Linked DNA regions of Drosophila melanogaster. The protein of the gene in region 1 purifies or fractionates together with the protein of each later gene. This does not show direct contact. Each region holds a gene or a part of one and is shown on either strand. Other genes may lie near its edges. The genes, in order: wds, NC2beta, Atac2 and Ada3.

The links.
Region 2: the proteins of wds (region 1) and NC2beta purify together in Drosophila melanogaster (affinity purification with mass spectrometry, with the first as the bait; 2 studies listed by BioGRID). This does not show direct contact.
Region 3: the proteins of wds (region 1) and Atac2 purify together in Drosophila melanogaster (affinity purification with mass spectrometry; 4 studies listed by BioGRID). This does not show direct contact.
Region 4: the proteins of wds (region 1) and Ada3 purify together in Drosophila melanogaster (affinity purification with mass spectrometry, with the first as the bait; 2 studies listed by BioGRID). This does not show direct contact.

The regions. Positions count from the first base shown.
Region 1 is NC_004354.4:2,584,033-2,588,734, reverse strand, and holds wds (will die slowly), read right to left. Parts: upstream 2,756-4,702; 5' UTR 2,457-2,755; coding exon 2,186-2,456; intron 1,975-2,185; coding exon 1,349-1,974; intron 1,295-1,348; coding exon 1,106-1,294; 3' UTR 518-1,105; downstream 1-517. Other genes in the region: CG13760 (uncharacterized protein), read left to right, coding at 3,528-3,737, 3,800-4,068, 4,133-4,272, 4,340-4,443.
Region 2 is NT_033779.5:15,006,056-15,009,089, forward strand, and holds NC2beta (negative cofactor 2beta), read left to right. Parts: upstream 1-1,757; 5' UTR 1,758-1,862; coding exon 1,863-2,414; 3' UTR 2,415-2,483; downstream 2,484-3,034. Other genes in the region: DCTN5-p25 (dynactin 5, p25 subunit), read left to right, coding at 1-205, 263-484; Ankrd49, read right to left, coding at 590-1,101, 1,151-1,286; THG (tRNA-histidine guanylyltransferase), read right to left, coding at 2,627-3,034. UniProt on the Drosophila melanogaster protein: Bifunctional basic transcription factor. Activates transcription of DPE (Downstream Promoter Element) containing promoters while repressing transcription of promoters which contain TATA elements.
Region 3 is NT_033779.5:18,609,048-18,613,984, forward strand, and holds Atac2 (Ada2a-containing complex component 2), read right to left. Parts: upstream 3,203-4,937; 5' UTR 3,132-3,202; coding exon 2,722-3,131; intron 2,662-2,721; coding exon 2,510-2,661; intron 2,455-2,509; coding exon 2,280-2,454; intron 2,214-2,279; coding exon 982-2,213; intron 916-981; coding exon 560-915; 3' UTR 529-559; downstream 1-528. Other genes in the region: CG10333 (uncharacterized protein), read left to right, coding at 1-408.
Region 4 is NC_004354.4:18,083,982-18,088,949, reverse strand, and holds Ada3 (transcriptional adaptor 3), read right to left. Parts: upstream 3,190-4,968; 5' UTR 3,039-3,189; coding exon 1,368-3,038; coding exon of another isoform or gene 1,272-1,367; 3' UTR 532-1,271; downstream 1-531.

The DNA.
Region 1 (4,702 bases):
GTGTGTGTGTGTGCGCGACGGCGGCGGAGCGATATTGATTTGCAAATTAATTGCAAAATTCACTTGGCGACTTTTGTTCAGCGGGTTGGCGCGCGCATCGCAGGGGCATTCGGATTCGGCAAGGTTCTGAATCAAGTGAATCGAATCCGTGATCTCCGAGTTTCGATTCGTCGGTTTTTTCGATTTTCGTTTCGCCAAGTGACCGTCGCGCGCCGTTGTCGAAATCCAGTGGCAAACGTTCAAACTGAACGGGCAGTGTGGCCCTCTTCAACCGAACTCAACGCAGGGTCGCACTCCAATAGGCGCTAGAGTTTAAAAATAAATAACTTAAAGAAAACGTCTACGTTAAGTATTATACCTGTGTTCATTCATTTAAAAACCGTAATATATTAAACGTACTTATTATCGCTTTTAAACCGTAATGAAGGTTCGTTTGTTTCGTAATTTTGCTAAACTGTATGTTTTTTTAGAATTAAAACTTCTCTTATTATGTGAATAAAATGCAATTTGTACATTTAAGTGTCTCGCCTCGAAAAGCGCGCAAGTTGAAAGGACACTTGGGCGCCGCCGAGACGGTGTTTTCTTTTATTCAAAATTTACATTTCGTATTTTATATATATTCTTTCTGGCGCTGGGATTCTGCCCCGAGCACCTGTTGTATCTTTTACGCTTAAATTTAGTTTTCTCGTCACCGAAAGATCATTATAAGTTATGTTGGTTTGCGTGGCTGTGTCAAAGGTTACAAACAATTTTGGGGGAATATTCTCGCTTGCATGGTGGGCCAATACAATAGGCTAATAAATATTTATACATTAATCGTTTTTTTTGTTTTCACTTTTTGTTGTTTTTTTTTTTTGTTTTTGTTTGTTTGTTTGTAATTTTTCCGTTTTGCCGTAGAATGTGAGGTTTAAAGTGTGATTTAAACGTAGAATTTTAGAGTTCCTTTTCTTTTTTAAATTATGCGTACAAAAAAAAAAGGGGGCTCGTGGTGGGGGGGTGTGGGGGTGTTACAATTACGATTAGGCTGTTCGCTTTAAAATAATATTATCCAAGAAATGTATGTGTGTGTTCCGATCGAACGTCCTCCAGCTGGATACCAGCCACTCTATGTATCCGACTTCCACAGCTTGATGGTCTTGTCGTTCTCGAGCGCCGCGGAAGCAATGATGTTCTCCGTGGGATGGCAGGCGGTGCACAGAACGGTATCGGTGTGTCCCTGCAGCTTTTGCACCACCTCCTTGCTCTGCAGATTCCAAATGTAGACCATGTTGTCCTCGCTGCCACTCACGATCCACTACAATGGACGCTTGTGAGTTAAAGCCTAAATGTGCATAAGATATGAACTCACCTTTCCTCCCGTCACCGAGAAGTTGGCGAATATGCAGTACTTCTCATTCTTGTGACCCGTATACGTCTTCAGGCACTTGCCCTTCGAGTAGTCCCACAACTTGAGCGTATTATCCAGCGTGGCGGCCAAAATGTACTTGCCATTGGGCGAGAACTTTACAAAGCTGACGGGCGGATTGTCGTCGTCGATCAGGGTTTTCAAGCACTGTCCACTGGCCGTGTCCCATATGCGACAGAGGCCGTCGTAGCTGCTGCTCACGATCAGCGATCCGTCGCGATTGAAATGTACCGCCGAAACGGGATCGGAATGGGCGGGTAGAGTCTTCAGACACTTGCCGGTGCGCACATCCCATATGCGAACGCTCTCGTCGAAGCTGCCGGAGACGATCAGATTGGACTGCGGATTAAAGTTGCAGCAGAACACATAGTTGCTGTGGCCCTTCAGAGTTTTCAAGCTCTTCCCGGTGCTCAGCTCCCAGACCTTGAGCGTCTTGTCATCACTGCCGCTCACGAGGAGTCGCGAGTCTGAGCTCCAGGCCACATCGCTGATGCCCAGCTTGTGGCCCGAAATGGTCTTCTCGAACTTGCCATCGTATGCTCCCCAGATTTTGATTAGTTTATCAGCGGCTGAGGGTTAGAAGTGGAAGTTTAATAGGCATGTGCTGTATGTATGGAATGTACAATATGTATTCTATAAATGCTTCTTCTCTTTTCCGAGATCTTATTTCATCCCAATTCCCATTAACTGAGCTGCCAAAGCTGCCTGTTCAGTCCAATAGCAGTTCAGTACCATAAAATTCCCCCCCAGATATTCGTGGATAGGGATGTATGTACTTACAGGAGCTGGCCAGCCACTCGCCATTCGGACTGAACTTGACCGCCGACACCGCCTTGGTGTGCCCGGCCAGCGTGAACTTGAGCGTGTAGTTGGGCTTGACGGATAGCGAGCTCTTGTTGGAGGCGCTGCTGTTCGAGGAGGTGGTGGCCCCCGGCTGGCCCACCGAGTTCGGCTGCAGCGAGTTTGGGCCGCTGGGCGCCGTGGGCAGTGGTTGCTGTGGCGGATGCACTACGCCGGGATGGCCGCCGTGCACGGCTCCGATGGGCACCATGTCCTCCGGATGCGGATTCTGCTTATGCTCCTTGGCCTGGCCTCCTTGTTTATTTTCCTTTTTTCTTTGGCACGCCGCACACGTGCTTCTTCTTCTTGTTGTTCCGACTAGAGAAACGCCGCCAATTAGCGGGCGAATTTGTTGGGCCTGTCGGATTAACTGCAGCTACTCCCGTTACCGGTGGTCACCGGCTGCTCTCTCTGCTGGGCGTGTGATTTGTTTGTTTAAATAGGCGCTTGGTTTTTTGGCTCGTTTGCGTGCCACACGTGAAAATAATAATGCTTAAGGTCACACTAATAACTAAAAATTGGTCAGCGCGTCAGTGTGGCCGTTGCGCACCAGCCACGGATTGCCACAGCGGTGGTGGAACGTGTTTACTCGATTCCTTGCTTTTTGTTTTTTTTTTTAGGGAGATTTGGGATGTTTTCGTCCTTGGGGGATGATTCTAGAATGGGACTCTTAGTTTCCCGCTGAAACTATCAGGGGGAGTGCATCGGGCACATCGATGCCAAATTGCATGCAGTTAGCTCGACGTTGCCAGATCGTTTCATACATGTTTGAAGTTTCGCGTACAGTTGCATTTAAATTTATACCAATTGCCAGTAGTTATTTAGTCTTAAAATTGCAGGTAATTCTAACTGAACTGTCAATTTTGAAGGGCTTAAGAAGGATTTACATAGTGTTAGAACATTTTTTGCGCCTTTAAGATTTCAAACCAAAAATTTCCTAGCAGCAACCAAGATTTGTAGGAAAATACATCTAACTCCTTTGGCGACTCACAATTTATGTATAAATATTATTTAATTACAATATTTACAATATATATCTAAAAAAATTCAATTGGCATTTTTTTCAACTGGACATAGCCGACAGTTGGCATTCCGCAGACAGCTGCACCTGGCCACACTGGCCCAAGCTGTTAGACCAAAACATTCCCAGTTCAGTTTCCAATTGGACGCCAGGATCAAAGGAGCGCAGCCGCGGGCACAGGAGCACGCGAAGCACACGGAGCCAAGGACTCGAGGACCCGAGGAGCACAAGAAGCCAAGAAGAGCCCAGCTGCTGGCCAGAATGAACGGACTGCCGCCGAGCAAGCACTACAACCTGACGCACTACCAGCAGCGCTACAACTGGGACTGCGGTCTGTCCTGCATCATTATGATCCTGTCGGCGCAGCAAAGGGAACAGCTTCTTGGGAACTTTGATGCCGTGTGCGGCGAGGAGGGATTTGGCTCGAGCACCTGGACCATCGACCTGTGCTATCTGCTGATGCGCTACCAGGTGGGCATGCCGTGATGCACATTTGCATTCGCTCACTTCTTTGACACTCTCTTCTTGGCCAGGTGCGCCACGAGTACTTCACCCAAACGCTCGGGATCGATCCCAACTACGCGCAGCACACGTACTACTCCAAGATCATCGACAAGGACGAACGGCGCGTGACGCGCAAGTTCAAGGACGCCCGGGCCCATGGACTGCGCGTTGAACAGCGCACCGTGGACATGGAGGTCATTCTGCGGCATTTGGCCCGCCACGGACCCGTCATCCTGCTGACCAACGCCTCGCTGCTCACGTGCGAGGTGTGCAAGCGCAATGTCCTAGAGAAGTTCGGGTGAGTTCCTCTTGCCACCGGCGATTCACAAAAAACCACCTTAAATCCACACTCGAATGAAAAGCTGTTTTCATATACCCTGCATTGCTCAAAATACACGCCTCCATGGACCCAAAAGGTATGCCGGACACTATGTGGTGCTCTGCGGATATGACATGGCCGCCCAGAAGCTCTTCTACCACAATCCCGAGGTCCACGATGGCCGTGAGTATTCCATTTGGTAGCAATCCTTGAAAATTCATTGATTTTCGTTTTTGGCTGCGTTCCACAGACATTTGTCGCTGCCTCATCGAGTCCATGGACACGGCCCGACGCGCCTACGGCACGGACGAGGACATCATTTTCATATACGAGAAGAAGGAAACTAGGGAGTAGTAGATGGATAAACCAGCGGAACAGATGAACAAATGAACAGATGAATTGATGAACAGATGAACAGAAGTACCTGCCGTCGCCAGGTTGCCAGGTGATGAGAACGGATGATTGGAATCTGCGCTTGTGATATTAGGACTTTAGGAGGAGACCTTGTAGGGGGGGACTTCGAGTGGGAGGTAAGAGAAAAAGCTGTCTGGTTAACTTTGGCACAACAGTGTACTTTATTTAGGTATTGTTAGCAGTTGGTCCCCATACAAAA
Region 2 (3,034 bases), on another chromosome or scaffold:
TCGCGGCGATCTGGCCAATGTCCGGACGGGAAGATATTGTGTGATTGGCAAGAACTCCGTCATCCGACCGCCGTACAAACAATTCAGCAAGGGAATCGCCTTCTTTCCCATGCACGTCGGTGAGCATGTTTTCGTTGGCGAAGGAGCAGTCGTCTCGGCGGCCACCATTGGATCCTATGTGTACATCGGCAAGAATGCCATCATAGTAAGCTATTACTTATTGTTATACCCTTGTAATCCATTTACTTTTACCATCTTTCAGGGCCGTCGCTGTGTTTTGAAAGACTGCTGTGTAATTGAGGATGGGGCTGTCCTGCCGCCAGAAACTACCGTGTCCAGCTACATGCGTTACACGGCGAGGGGAACCATCGAGGGTGGCCAGGGCAATCCGTATTTTGTGCCCGCCGCCATGCAGGACGAGATGATCAACTACACTAAGTCATTCTACGAGCATTTCGTGAGGGCTCCAGCGCCAGCCAGCTGAAAATCGTGGTGTCTACCAATTCCATCGACAGAAAACATTATTTATGAAATAAACATATTATATTAGTTATTCTATAAGTATGCGCATAGTTTGACTATTAAGTGATTAATCTATCAGTCCCGTTTCGCAGTCGTAGGCTTCCTCGCCGGACTCGAAAATGGGAAAACTCATGCCAGTACGACGGGCAATCACCGAGGCCAGTTCCTCGGAGTTGTTCTCCTTGCGCGGCTGGATGTATCGGTCCAGCAGAAGGACCGTGGCCGTATTCCGACAATTGGACACAGTGGCGGTTATGTGAAGCGGCGTCTGCTTGCCGTCCGATTCCGCATTTACATCGGCGCCAAACTGCAGCAGCAAATGGGCGCAATCCGCATTGTTCCACTTGCAGGCGGAGTGCAATGGCGTCCATCCCAGCTCCGTGCGGGCGTTGGGATTGGCATGGTACTGCAGCAGCAACTTGGCCATATCCACAAAGTTATTATAGGCAGCTCGGTGCAGCGGCGTGTATCCGTCGTTATCCTTGGCGTTCACGGTGTCTGCGTCCAGTTTTAGGATTTCCCGCACCTCGCTGATGCGGTTCTCGTTCACCGCCCACAGAATCATGCGTTCAATGCTGCCTATGATGATGTTTAATTAAACTATTTCTCTAAAATGTATTCTACTTACTTTGTGGGTTCTTGTCCTCTTCGATCAGTTCGTCGGCATCGTCGTCCCAGCCGCTCACGAACATTCCGCGCGGCACTTTGGCGTGGCGCAGCTTCTCCACCTGTGATTTTTCATCATCGGAATCGTAGTCCCCCATTTTGTGGTAATATATTAATAATAAGCCGGAATTTAAACAGCTCAACTTTTTGTTTTCTATTTCTCAAAGTGACCGTTGCTTAGCCGCTTAAGTACACTTAAAAAAATACTAAACACTTAAAAATATACTAAACGAAGAGTGGAGTTTTAAAAAGAACAGTACATTTGGTTTTTCAAATAAAAAAAAAAAAACTATTTATATAAATAATGGTAGGAATTATAAAAAAATTATTCTTTTATTTGAAAAGTCTGCCATTTAAAAAAAGGCTGTATTATTTATAATATTCATCAAAATCAAATTAATCAAAGATTATTAAGCCATTAAATTTGTGTTGAATACATAAATGATATACATCATTTTATATCATCATTTATATATTTTATTTTTAGCTATATATGCTTTATATAGTTCATTTCAATCAATTAATGATTTCATTTATTTACAAAAACAATAATTTTTCGATTACATTTTTCTGTTAGCAGTAAACGGCCACTCTAGCACACTATACTAGTAAATCCGAGAAAAACATCTGCTTCCAAGTTTGTTTGTTTGTTTGTTCCTTGAAACCAGGACGCCATGTCGAATCCGCAGGAAGAACTACTGCCGCCCAGCGCCGAGGACGACGAGCTGACCCTGCCACGGGCCAGCATCAACAAGATCATCAAGGAGCTGGTGCCCACGGTGCGGGTGGCCAACGAGAGTCGCGAGCTGATACTCAACTGCTGCTCAGAGTTCATTCATCTGATCAGTTCGGAGGCCAACGAGGTGTGCAACATGCGCAACAAGAAGACGATAAACGCAGAGCACGTCCTGGAGGCGTTGGAACGCTTGGGTTTTCACGACTACAAACAAGAGGCGGAGGCCGTTCTGCACGACTGCAAGGAGGTGGCAGCCAAGCGAAGGCGCCAGAGCACGCGCCTAGAGAACCTGGGCATTCCGGAGGAGGAGCTGCTGCGCCAGCAGCAGGAGCTGTTCGCCAAGGCACGCGAGGAGCAGGCGCGCGAGGAGCAGCAGCAGTGGATGAGCATGCAAGCGGCAGCAATGGTGCAGCGACCACCGCTGGCAGACGGCTCCGTTGCCAGCAAGCCAAGTGAGGATGACGATGACGATGACGACGACGACTACTAGTAGGAAATAGTCTTTCTATGAGCTTAGTGTAGATTTAATCTTAAAATATATGCCATAAGTTGAACTTTCAACTATTAGCTACTCTTCATTACGGATCATCCGTTTGTCCTTCACTCCAGCAGCCTGGGCACCGCATCCTCAATCTCCGAAACGACTTCCTTAGATGTATCGTAACTTTAATCTTTAAAAATGCAAGACTATTCGTTATTATATCAGCTGGTACCAGCCAGATTTTGTGGCTCCTCCGCCTCATTGTCATCCTTGCCATTTATTTGCATCTCCACCAATCGGGGAAAAGTTTGTGGTGCGTCGTATGTGCCTGGCACATATTTTCCCAATATTTCGGTGTGTTCCTTCCAGAACTGCGAAGATATCAGATCCTCGTGCAGCGGCACCACGGCCTGCCTGCTCTTCTCACCCAATATCACGCGTTTTCTCAGCAGAATCGTTCCCTTTCTGTACATTGCCGGCAGATTGTTGTAATTTATCCCGAATTCCTGGAAGAGCAGCTCATTTTTGTCCGCCGAAAAGGTGCCACGGAGTTTCGCCTCGGCTTGCTGGTTCGTCAGGCCTTTTTCCAAAACGAGTTTCCAAAAGGCGGTATTGTACAGGTTGTTCAC
Region 3 (4,937 bases), on another chromosome or scaffold:
AAACTCGGCTACAACTCGTGCACATTGCACGGTGGCAAGGGTCAGGAGCAGAGAGAGTATGCTTTGGCTGCTTTGAAGTCAGGCGCAAAGGACATCCTGGTGGCCACCGACGTCGCTGGTCGTGGTATCGACATCAAGGACGTGTCCTTGGTTATTAACTATGACATGGCCAAGACCATCGAGGATTACACACATCGTATCGGTCGTACGGGTCGTGCCGGCAAAACCGGTTGTGCCATTTCGTTTGTCACCAAGGACGATAGCGCTTTGTTCTACGATCTAAAGCAATGTGTGTCTGCAAGTCCTGTCTCGACCTGTCCGCCGGAGCTAATGAATCACCCGGAAGCGCAGCACAAGCCTGGCACGGTGGTTACCAAAAAGCGCAGGGAGGAAAAAATATTCGCCTAAATTTGGCAAATTCTAAGCAGAACTACTTTAGGTTAAAATTTAAAACTAATAAAGTTGGGTGCGCCAAAGCCATACCTTGGCAACCAAAAATTCTCTTTCGAAATAGTCTTTTGAAACTTTAGATTCATAAACCATTTATTTGAAAAAAGTCTCATCTTTGTAATCTCAAAAAGAAGGCATTTCTGCTCTGTTTCGAGTCCAGAGGCAGATACTTGTCATAAAAGTCCAAGATGATTTCCTCCATCTTAAATCCGAATTTCTGGTACAACATGACGGCCGCGTTGGTGGCGGAAACGTGCAACGTTATGTCCTTGGACATACATGTCTGGATAAGGTGATATAACATGAAGCTGGCGATGCCACTGCGTTGCCAGCACGGCCGCACCGCCATGAATGAGATGTAGGCCTCGTTGTAACCTACGTCGGGCACTAGGAATCCGCAACCGATGACCAGTTTCTTGTACAACGCCACTACACTGTAGTCCGGGTAGCTCAAACACTCGCTTACTAAAAGGGAAAAAATCATACAAATTTGTACATTAAAAAAGCTAAAAAGAAAATCATGAAACCCACCATCAATGTTTGGCCAAAAAGTACTTTGGAGTAATGCGTTTACGGCCGGAATATGCTGCGGTCTCACAAAACAGAAGTCGATGGTAGATCTTGTGGGATGAGATCCGTTTACTCTATGCTGCAGCTCGCACATAAGCTTCAGCCATGGAGGAGCCATCGTTTCGCTCCGAAAGATAAATGGATGAAGAACTCTTTGAGAGTAGGGCGATTCAAAGAGCTCGTATTGAGTGCATCCCGCCAGGCGGGCGTGAAAGGAGCTCCTTGCATCTTGTCGTGAATGGGCTAACAACTGATATCTGTCAAGAATTTCGGCCTTCTGATGACCCAGCATCTTTAGGCGTGCTCTTCCCAGGGGATCTATGTGCTCGTCCAAGTTAAATATGTGTCGATTGTGGTCCCTTTTCCATTTTCGAAGAGAAAGTTTTCGATATAGGCGCCGCACATAGGCAGGTATGGATATGTGGCACTGATGCTCCAGTGCGAATATTCTATCGAGTCGCTGGTACAACTTCTGTTCTTCGTATGCATTTATTAGTTTGAGATTTTCGCTAGGAATGGCCATGTCATCGGGATCCTGCGCCTCCTGCAACCAGGGCCAATTTCGCCGTGGTTGTCTGACAAATCCACTCGGTTTGCAAGGCTCTAGGATAGAGGATTTGCTATTTGTCGTGACGTCATCATCTTGCATTATCTCTTCTAGTGGTTCCTCTTTGATGCTTTCGTTTGCCTCTTGCGCCTGGTAATTTGTAACCTGTACGATGCGTGGCTGATAGTCGGGTGATTCGTCCTCTTCTGGCTTTTCATCTTCTACCTCGCCTTCTTTTTGTTCCTCGCTGCTTTCGGCTGCAGGTTCTTCTGTTGATATGGGTTTGGTCTCATCAGCGGTATTTGGTATGGCAAAATTTGTATCCATGTCGAAAAGACCTTCATTATTCAAAGGTGCGTGAAGCAACGGCTCGGTCATGAAGAAATCATTTTTACCCGCTCCAATCAGGGGTGGGGGCATTATGCCTGGTAGGTTACCAAACATGGTAAAATCATCGCTTTCCAAACTTTCAGCCAGAAAATCCATCAGGCCTGCTTGGACCATGCTCATAGGCTGATTCTGTGGTTCTTCCTCCTTCTGACTTGGTGGCGCTATATTTTCTTGAAGAATTGGTGGCCCTGGAAGCGTTTCCTGTGACAAGGGTGAAGGTTGTGTTTGTATCTTTGGCAAACGGCCCATGTAGGGACTGGAATAAAAGTGAAAGATTTTAATGAAAGGAACGCATAGTTGTATTCAAAATTAATTATCTTACATTGTTCGCGCACAGCCCTCTGTTGAACTGGGTTTCTCAGCTTCTGCTTTAATAAGCGGTGGGTTATCCTGGGCATGATCCGCCACTGAGATCTCGCTGCTACAGCTGGTCTCGTCCGCTGCAGGCAACCGCTTTTCAATACGCATTTGTAGCCGCAACTGTTGCTTTTTCTCATCTGAAATGTGACGACTTGTGAAATCTATCATATCATTAACTTAAGTGGCACTTACATTCTTTGAGAACGCTTCTTGGGGTTTGAAAGGGCTTGGCCAGTTTCCACCAGCCGTTCTCCTGAAAGACATCCAGACCAGACTGAAAGTACTCCGGACTGTTGTGGGACAGTGCGCCGGATACGGAACCAGTCCATTGCTTGCGACGCCGCCTGAACAAGGGGAATAAATTGAATGTGTTCTCCGGAAATTATTCATTTACGAATACTTACACATTGGGACCGAATATATAGTTCCAGTTCTTGTCCACAAAACTGATGATGTGCGTGCGCCAATGGAAGAATCCATGGTGTCCCAAGCCCTTTTGTTTGATGGACAGATTGTAGAGCGTTAGGGTGAGCACCAGCAGCCAAGGTATCCTTTGGCGCACGATCACTTCCTTAATGGGTTCTAGATCTGAGGGTATGACCGATTCCTTAGCTTTATCCAGCACACACTTGACGCACGTGAACTCGAAGAAAACGTCGCCTAAAAGATCTCCGGGCGTGCAAGCATGCGGCAGGCATTTGATGTGAACCATCCGCCTGCATTCCTGGCACTCCAGGTAGTTGTCGTCCTCCACCGGCGATTCACAGTAGCGGCATGGTCCCTGGGGATCATCCCAGTTACTGGGCCGATTCATTTACTCAGTAAAACAGCACAAATTGCAAGTTAAAAACAATCAACAAAATAATGTGTTGTTTGTGTGTTACCGTTTCGCACTTTTTGGTTTATACCATATATATGAGAAGCTTACATTTTGAAAATACCAAAAAATCGCACTGTGCTCGGTTCAAATTTGTCAATAATTTGAATTGGGAAAACAAAAAATAAAATTAATTTGTATTCTTAATTGATCTTTTCTGAAGCACTACAAAACATATTATTATTAAGCACTTATTTATTTATTAACATTGCCGTTTTAAAATGCCGAAGATGTCAGCATTAACATAATTTAAAATAATTTTTTATTGTTAAAATGTCATAAATAAGCATTTTTAATTAATATGGAACAGAGACAAGGCTATGGTCTTCGCATATTATATACCCTCTTCTCAGGTGTATTCAACATTTTCTTGTCACATTTTTAGAAATTGCAAGCAAATATCAAAACACTTTTTAAAAGTTTTGAGCTCTTGGTGGGCGTTAGAGTGGGCGTGGCATTCTTCTGAAACAAACTGTGATGCGTCTACATGTCTAGAATCTGATTGCTCCATCTTAGCTTCCTAACTTTTAAGTTCCCGAGATCACAGCGCTTATACGGACGAACAGAAGGACACGTTTTAATCGACTCGTCCACTGATCCTGATTACATATATATGCTTAATACTGTCGGGAATGACTTTTTCTTTTGTTATTTCTTATGCCAGTTACCTACTTTTCAACGAATCTAGCATATCCTTATGCCCTTATATACACTATATAAAAGATCCCGATTGTTTTTTATGTTCTCCCTATCTAGAAGATAAGAATCCGCTTGATTAGTACAGTCCCGTTTCGCTTGATCAAGCATGCGTTTGTCACGCCCTACGCCCACCAAGCACATTAGTACCAACGCCCACCACCCACCACCCAACGCCCAGCGTCCTTTGGCCATGCAACGAAAATGACATTAATGGGCTCTTTACGGCTTACGCATAATTAAGGCTGTTTCCGGCAGACCATCGACCATCGGACCTGGCCCCATTGCTTTTGGCCCGGTCAGTGTGTTGTCTTAAGCGGGCCTAATTAGGCATCGCCGGCTGCTGCGTTCTGGCGAAGCTGTTGCTTCTGCTTCTGCTTCTGCTGTTGTTGTGTGTTTGATGAAGTGCATGATTGGTTTATGGACTGAAGTGGGATGGTCGAAACTGCAGGCCGGCTAAGTGGGGTATTCAGTTGAGAACCAAAGCTGAACGGATCCACAATTGTTTCTTTTGTAAATCACTTTCTATTTGCCGAATGATTATTACTGCAAAGCATGCAGTTTGTGCATCTTACAGGATATGCACCTATTTACGATTTCACTTCAACACTCATCGTTTTCAATTCAATTTGAATATTGCACTTCAAGTTCTTCCCTGCCTTTAATATCTGTAGTTGAATTCCTTTCAACTTGCTTGTCTGGCGCCTCGAGGAGATTTTCATTTAATTCGCGACTGCCCGCTGGCAAGTCGAAAAGAGCGAAAAATATGGTGAAACAAATTAATTTGTTGGTGCTACTACAGCCAAAAGTATATCCCCGAATTATGTTTTAAAGTATATCTATATCTTAGTTTTGCGAAAGTTAAAATGAGTTTCACTCATAAATCACTTAAAGCTCGAGGGTAAATATTTTCTGGAAAGAGCTTGACAAATTGGATAGTCGTTTACTAGCTGATTATGACATTTACAGATGCGATGCTGGTTAGAATTTGTTTGGCCACCCATTTTGTTCATAACAACCGTATTTGCTCTCAATCACCAGACTTAT
Region 4 (4,968 bases), about 15 Mb from region 1:
TGTGATACGGGATCGGGTGGCGGGCGAAAGGGATCGACCAGTCAAGCAAGATGCACCGCGGCATACATGAAGTACAATGAATCTTTATACCCACAAACATCATCTAGCATACATTCAGAGGAAGGCCACTGACGACGTGTTCACCCAAGACTAAAAACTTGCACATATTAGAAGATCAGATTTGACTGCCATTTGCTACGTATAATAAAGTTTGTTTCTGGATATATTTGCCTGGCGATTAGCGTTCTAGAGATAGCCAATCCGCGTGGCCCGGAAGGGCTTCCTCCGATCGAAGATGGCCGGCTCGCTTGTTTGGCTTTAATTAGCCGTACGCTGGAGTTGCCGACTTTGATTGCGCCTTATCGGCTGGGCAAACAAGATCGAAGCAACGGCAGAGGATTCCCCACATCCGCTGGAGTTCACTTGCCCGCTTCGTCGGCCAGATCGAGCTCAAAGCGTACGCAGCGTTCGCCCAGCGCGGTGGTTTCTCTCCTCCCAAACTCACTCCCATGGTGGAAAATTCTGTGCTTTACTCTCGATAGTGACGACTTTATTGCCGCGCGATAACTTAAGCTATACAAAGTGTATGTATTTGGGAGTGTTAAATAGGGTGAATCAATATTTATAGTTGCGAAAGACATGAGGAAAACAACGTGCTCGTAAAATTTTGGGAAATTCCAGTAGCGGAAAGTTTTTCAGTTCATTTAGCGAATAATGCGAATCTCACCCTCCACTTTTATGTACACAAAATCAAATTTAGCATTTAGCATGTAAAATCTACGGATATCCATTTAATTTTCAGGCAATTACAAACAAATTGGCAAAAAACTGTAGGCTTACAGAATACGGAATACGTTACTAAGCAAGGAAAGGGAAATTATGATTTTGTAAAAGAACAGTTTAAAATACGCAAACGCTACTCTCCGCCACTTGAAGATCTTATCTAAATAATTAATTTCACTTTAATCTTGAACACTACATTCTATGAGCTAATGTATCTTTGTTAATGTACAGTCTGGTGACGAAGATAAGAATACGGGTTTGGAAGCTAGTCGAAAACGACTCAAAAGTGGCGTTCGATTTGGGGAAAACGAATGCCAAAACTCGAGGAAAACTTATGCAAAACATTTTCCGCCACCATGAGCGCATCTTCCCAAAACGTCCACAACTTGGATTGCGGACACTAGAGGCTACGTGTACGTGTCGAATAGCGTGGCTAATTTACAGTCTGGCGAAATGAAAGGAGTGGCGAGTAAGGAGGAGCAGCTCCTTCAGACGCACTGCAGCTTGAGGCTAGCGTCGCGGACCTGCCTCTTTGCCTGATGCATGGCCATTAGCTGGCACCAGCCCCAGGCCAGGCTCCTGTCCTACATCTTTGGCTCTAACAGGGAGTTGCCGGAGCCGCCGATGCAGGGCAGATGCATCTGCATACGCTCCAGCTGATCCGCAAGTAGGCGCTGCTCGTTGGTCAGCCGCAGTATCTCCTGCTTCTCCTCGATGGTGTGGCCCTTGCGCTTGGCCCGATACTGCAGCATTCGCTTGTAGCACTCGAGTATCTCCTGGTCCACCATGTCCAATTTCTGTTTGATGGCAATGCGCTTGATTTCCTCACTGGCAACGGCACGCAGTCGCTTCAATTCCTCGCTGTTAAACTGCGAAATGGTGCTGATTTCGGTCGTTACGCGCTTGATCTCCATCAGCACCTCGTCCACGTCTTCGTGGGCCGCAAACTCACTGGCATCGATCAGTCCGTTCTCGATGAGAGTCTTCTTCAGGCGCTGTTCGATGCCCACGCCGTGTTTCATCATGGCGAGAGATCGAAAGTTCCCGGAAGCAGCTGCTGCGGCAGCATTTGCCGAGGACGAGGAGTGCGAGTGGGTGTTCTCGTTGCTGCTGCTCGTGGTGCTGTTGCTGTGCTCGCCCACGGCGGCCTGTTCGCTGGGCAGCGTCATCAGGGACTCCTCCATTAAGGCGGACACCAAACGCTGGGTGAGTGGACCAGTGATGCTCTCATCCACCATGCCTTCGGCCTTTTTGAGCATTCCGCTGGAATTGTTCGATTTAATTCGAGCTCCGCCCGGCTGCAGCGCCTTTATATCCTCCTGGGCCCAAACTGTGGAGTAGTGGGGACCCAGAGGTGGCACTGGCGGCACCAGTGGACCCCAATACTGCTCCAGCAGGTCATCGATTAGGCGCAGATCCTCGTTGGTTAGAGGCATGCAGTAGGGCTCCACGGATAGCCAGAACTTGTTGGGCGTATCGTTCTTGGGCACCGTCATTTTCGGTAGCTGCGGCAGCGGCTGGTGATGCGGCAGCACGGATCCAGAGGCATTGGCGGCCGCCAGTGTGGGCAGATAGTCCATGCTGTCGTCGGTGTGCACGACCAAGGGGCTGTTCTTGGCCTGGTGCTTCGAGGTGCCGCCGGAAACGCCCTGTTGCTTGAGAATGGTCATCGAAGAGTGCTTTTTGCGCACGCCCGTTGGCTCATCCCGCTTGCGCTTCGATTGGCTAGAGGATGAGGCGCCTCCGCCGCCCAGCGGGCTGCCCAGACTCGTCGACGAGTTGCTGCCGATGCCCAGCAAGCCGTTGAGCATGCTAGCCGGACAAGGTGGCGATCCAGGCACACGGTCGAGCTTTCTTCGATCCTGGCGCTTCTCATCCTTGTCGAGGCTATCATACTCCGCTTTCAGGACGCGCGTGCGCAGCGCCACATTGGAGAGCATCTGTTCCAGCTCCAGTTGCACTGCATCCAGATCCTCGGCCGCCAAATGATCATCCGCCGGACGCTGCAGTGCCGCTGCAATGGTGGGCAGCAATTTGGGCACGTCCCGAGTGCGAATTATTGGTATAACGACGCCGCCGGGCGTGGCCAGCACCTCGGAGTCCAGGAAGGTGCTCGTTGGGGCGGATTTGCCGCCACCTGTGCCATTTGTGGGCAGTTTTCCAGCTCCTCCGGATGACGCAGAGATGCCAAAGCCACCGGAACCGAGCGAACCACTGAAGTGGGCCAGTTTGATATTCTTCAGGTTCGCACTCATGGAACGCGACTGCGACTGGTTGGGGACCTGTGTGTTAGCTAGATTGCGGATATATTTGCTGTTTTTCCTGCTTTTCTTGTGTTGTGAAAATCGCAATTTGTTTTGCGTCGATATGGCAGTGTGACCGTAGCGGAAGACGGGTAAATACTAATGTACAAGATGGTAAAATACTGGAATGGGCTACACGCGCGGGTTATGCACAGTGGGCCAAACAAAAAAAATTCTCATGAGTAGCTAAATATTTATAATTTAAGACATACTTAACTAGCATTTCATTAATTAACTTTAGCAGTAATTGAAACTGTTTATTTGACTTTATTTCAGCAATTGAAGATAACGGAACATTATCGCATGGATACATTTTCATACCACTTGATTTTATCCACAAAATAGTGAAAAATACTCTCTGCAACTATAACAGTGATCGTGCACAACAGAGCTGCTCCAGCGCTGTGCAACACTGGTGGCCGCGTAGCGCGCGTGCTTACCAATACTTTGCTTTTTTGTTCAGTTCTTTGTTGTTGTTTGGCGTTCGCATTTCGCCCGTCGTCGTCTGAATTTTTTAGTGATATGCGCGCTATTTCGGTGATAAGCAGTGTACTTAACAAATCAGCGACTGTTGACAATTTGTAATGGCCAGTGGGAGCAGCTTGCGATGTTAGAGTAGACCCATTCCCCCCCTTCCGCAGACGAACTGCAAGTGCAAACTGCAGTGTATGTATGTAATTTTATGTAATTGAACACCCATTTCCCAAACCCCACCCCCCCAAAATCCCACAAAGCATGCAAACACATCCAAACATTTGAACATCCAAGCACCCAAAACATCGAAGCATCCGATAATCTCGGACTGGTTGCCTCCAATTGCGCCTCGTTTGTCCAATTGTGAGGCGCAAATCACAAGACAAGTCGAATTGACGCTCAGCCGCCACGCCCCCTTCGCTGCTCACGACCACACCCCCCCTCCCCGCGGGCGGGAATCAACGAAAATCAAAAGCCAACATCCAGCGATTCAGTTCGGTTTAGTTGGGTTCAGTCGTGCCGACATATGCACAAATATCCCAGCTTCAAAACGCTGTTTCCCTTCGATTTGACTACACTTTCCCAACTGGGCATTTTCGCTATCAGAAGAGGTTTGCAATGCCACCTTTAAGCTATGATCTATCACCGAACTGCAAAAGTTTTTTATTTTCGTTCTACGCCAATTAACTTAACTTCGACTTGTCTATTTTACAATCAAAAAGTGCGAAGTGTATTGTTTAAGTTAAAATTCGATCCCCGAGAGTTTCGGTTCTAAAGATCCTAAAATAAACAGTGAAAACAATTTAATATAAATGAACAGCGGACAAAAGTGTTTTATTTAAGCTTGGTTTCATGTTTTGTATTCCATAAGATGTGTACATTAAAGAGAAGTGATATATTCGTTTCGAGTTTCTTTTGTTTGTTCTTCAATACAAAGATAAATACAAGCTTCCCCCATCTATTATCTCAAGTAAAAAGTGATCATCAGTCTATATAGTTCTTTGTTTCTTTAGTTAATTCTTTGTTTTTGCTATTTGCAATCTTGGCAATGTGAATATCATCTGGTAGATAGAACAACTGAAAATCGTAGCTAATTTGAATTTATATCTCGTCATAGAAAGGATAGTGTACACACAAACACGTTTGTTTTGCGAGATAATCCCATCGTGGATTGCACATAATATCTAGAACAATATGTCGAACAATAACCGCGGGCGGGTAAGGGTATTTGCAGTGCCGCCAAAACCTGAACAAACCCTCCGCTCTTGTTTTATTGATCAAATATTTGCGTCTACGTGTGTCGTCGTCGTCGTCGATGTGTTCCGTTCCGGCGATGTCTCAGCGATTATGGGGCTTTTGTGTGTCAGCTGTTGTTTGAAAACGGCACTAGCACATGTTTTATAAGCCC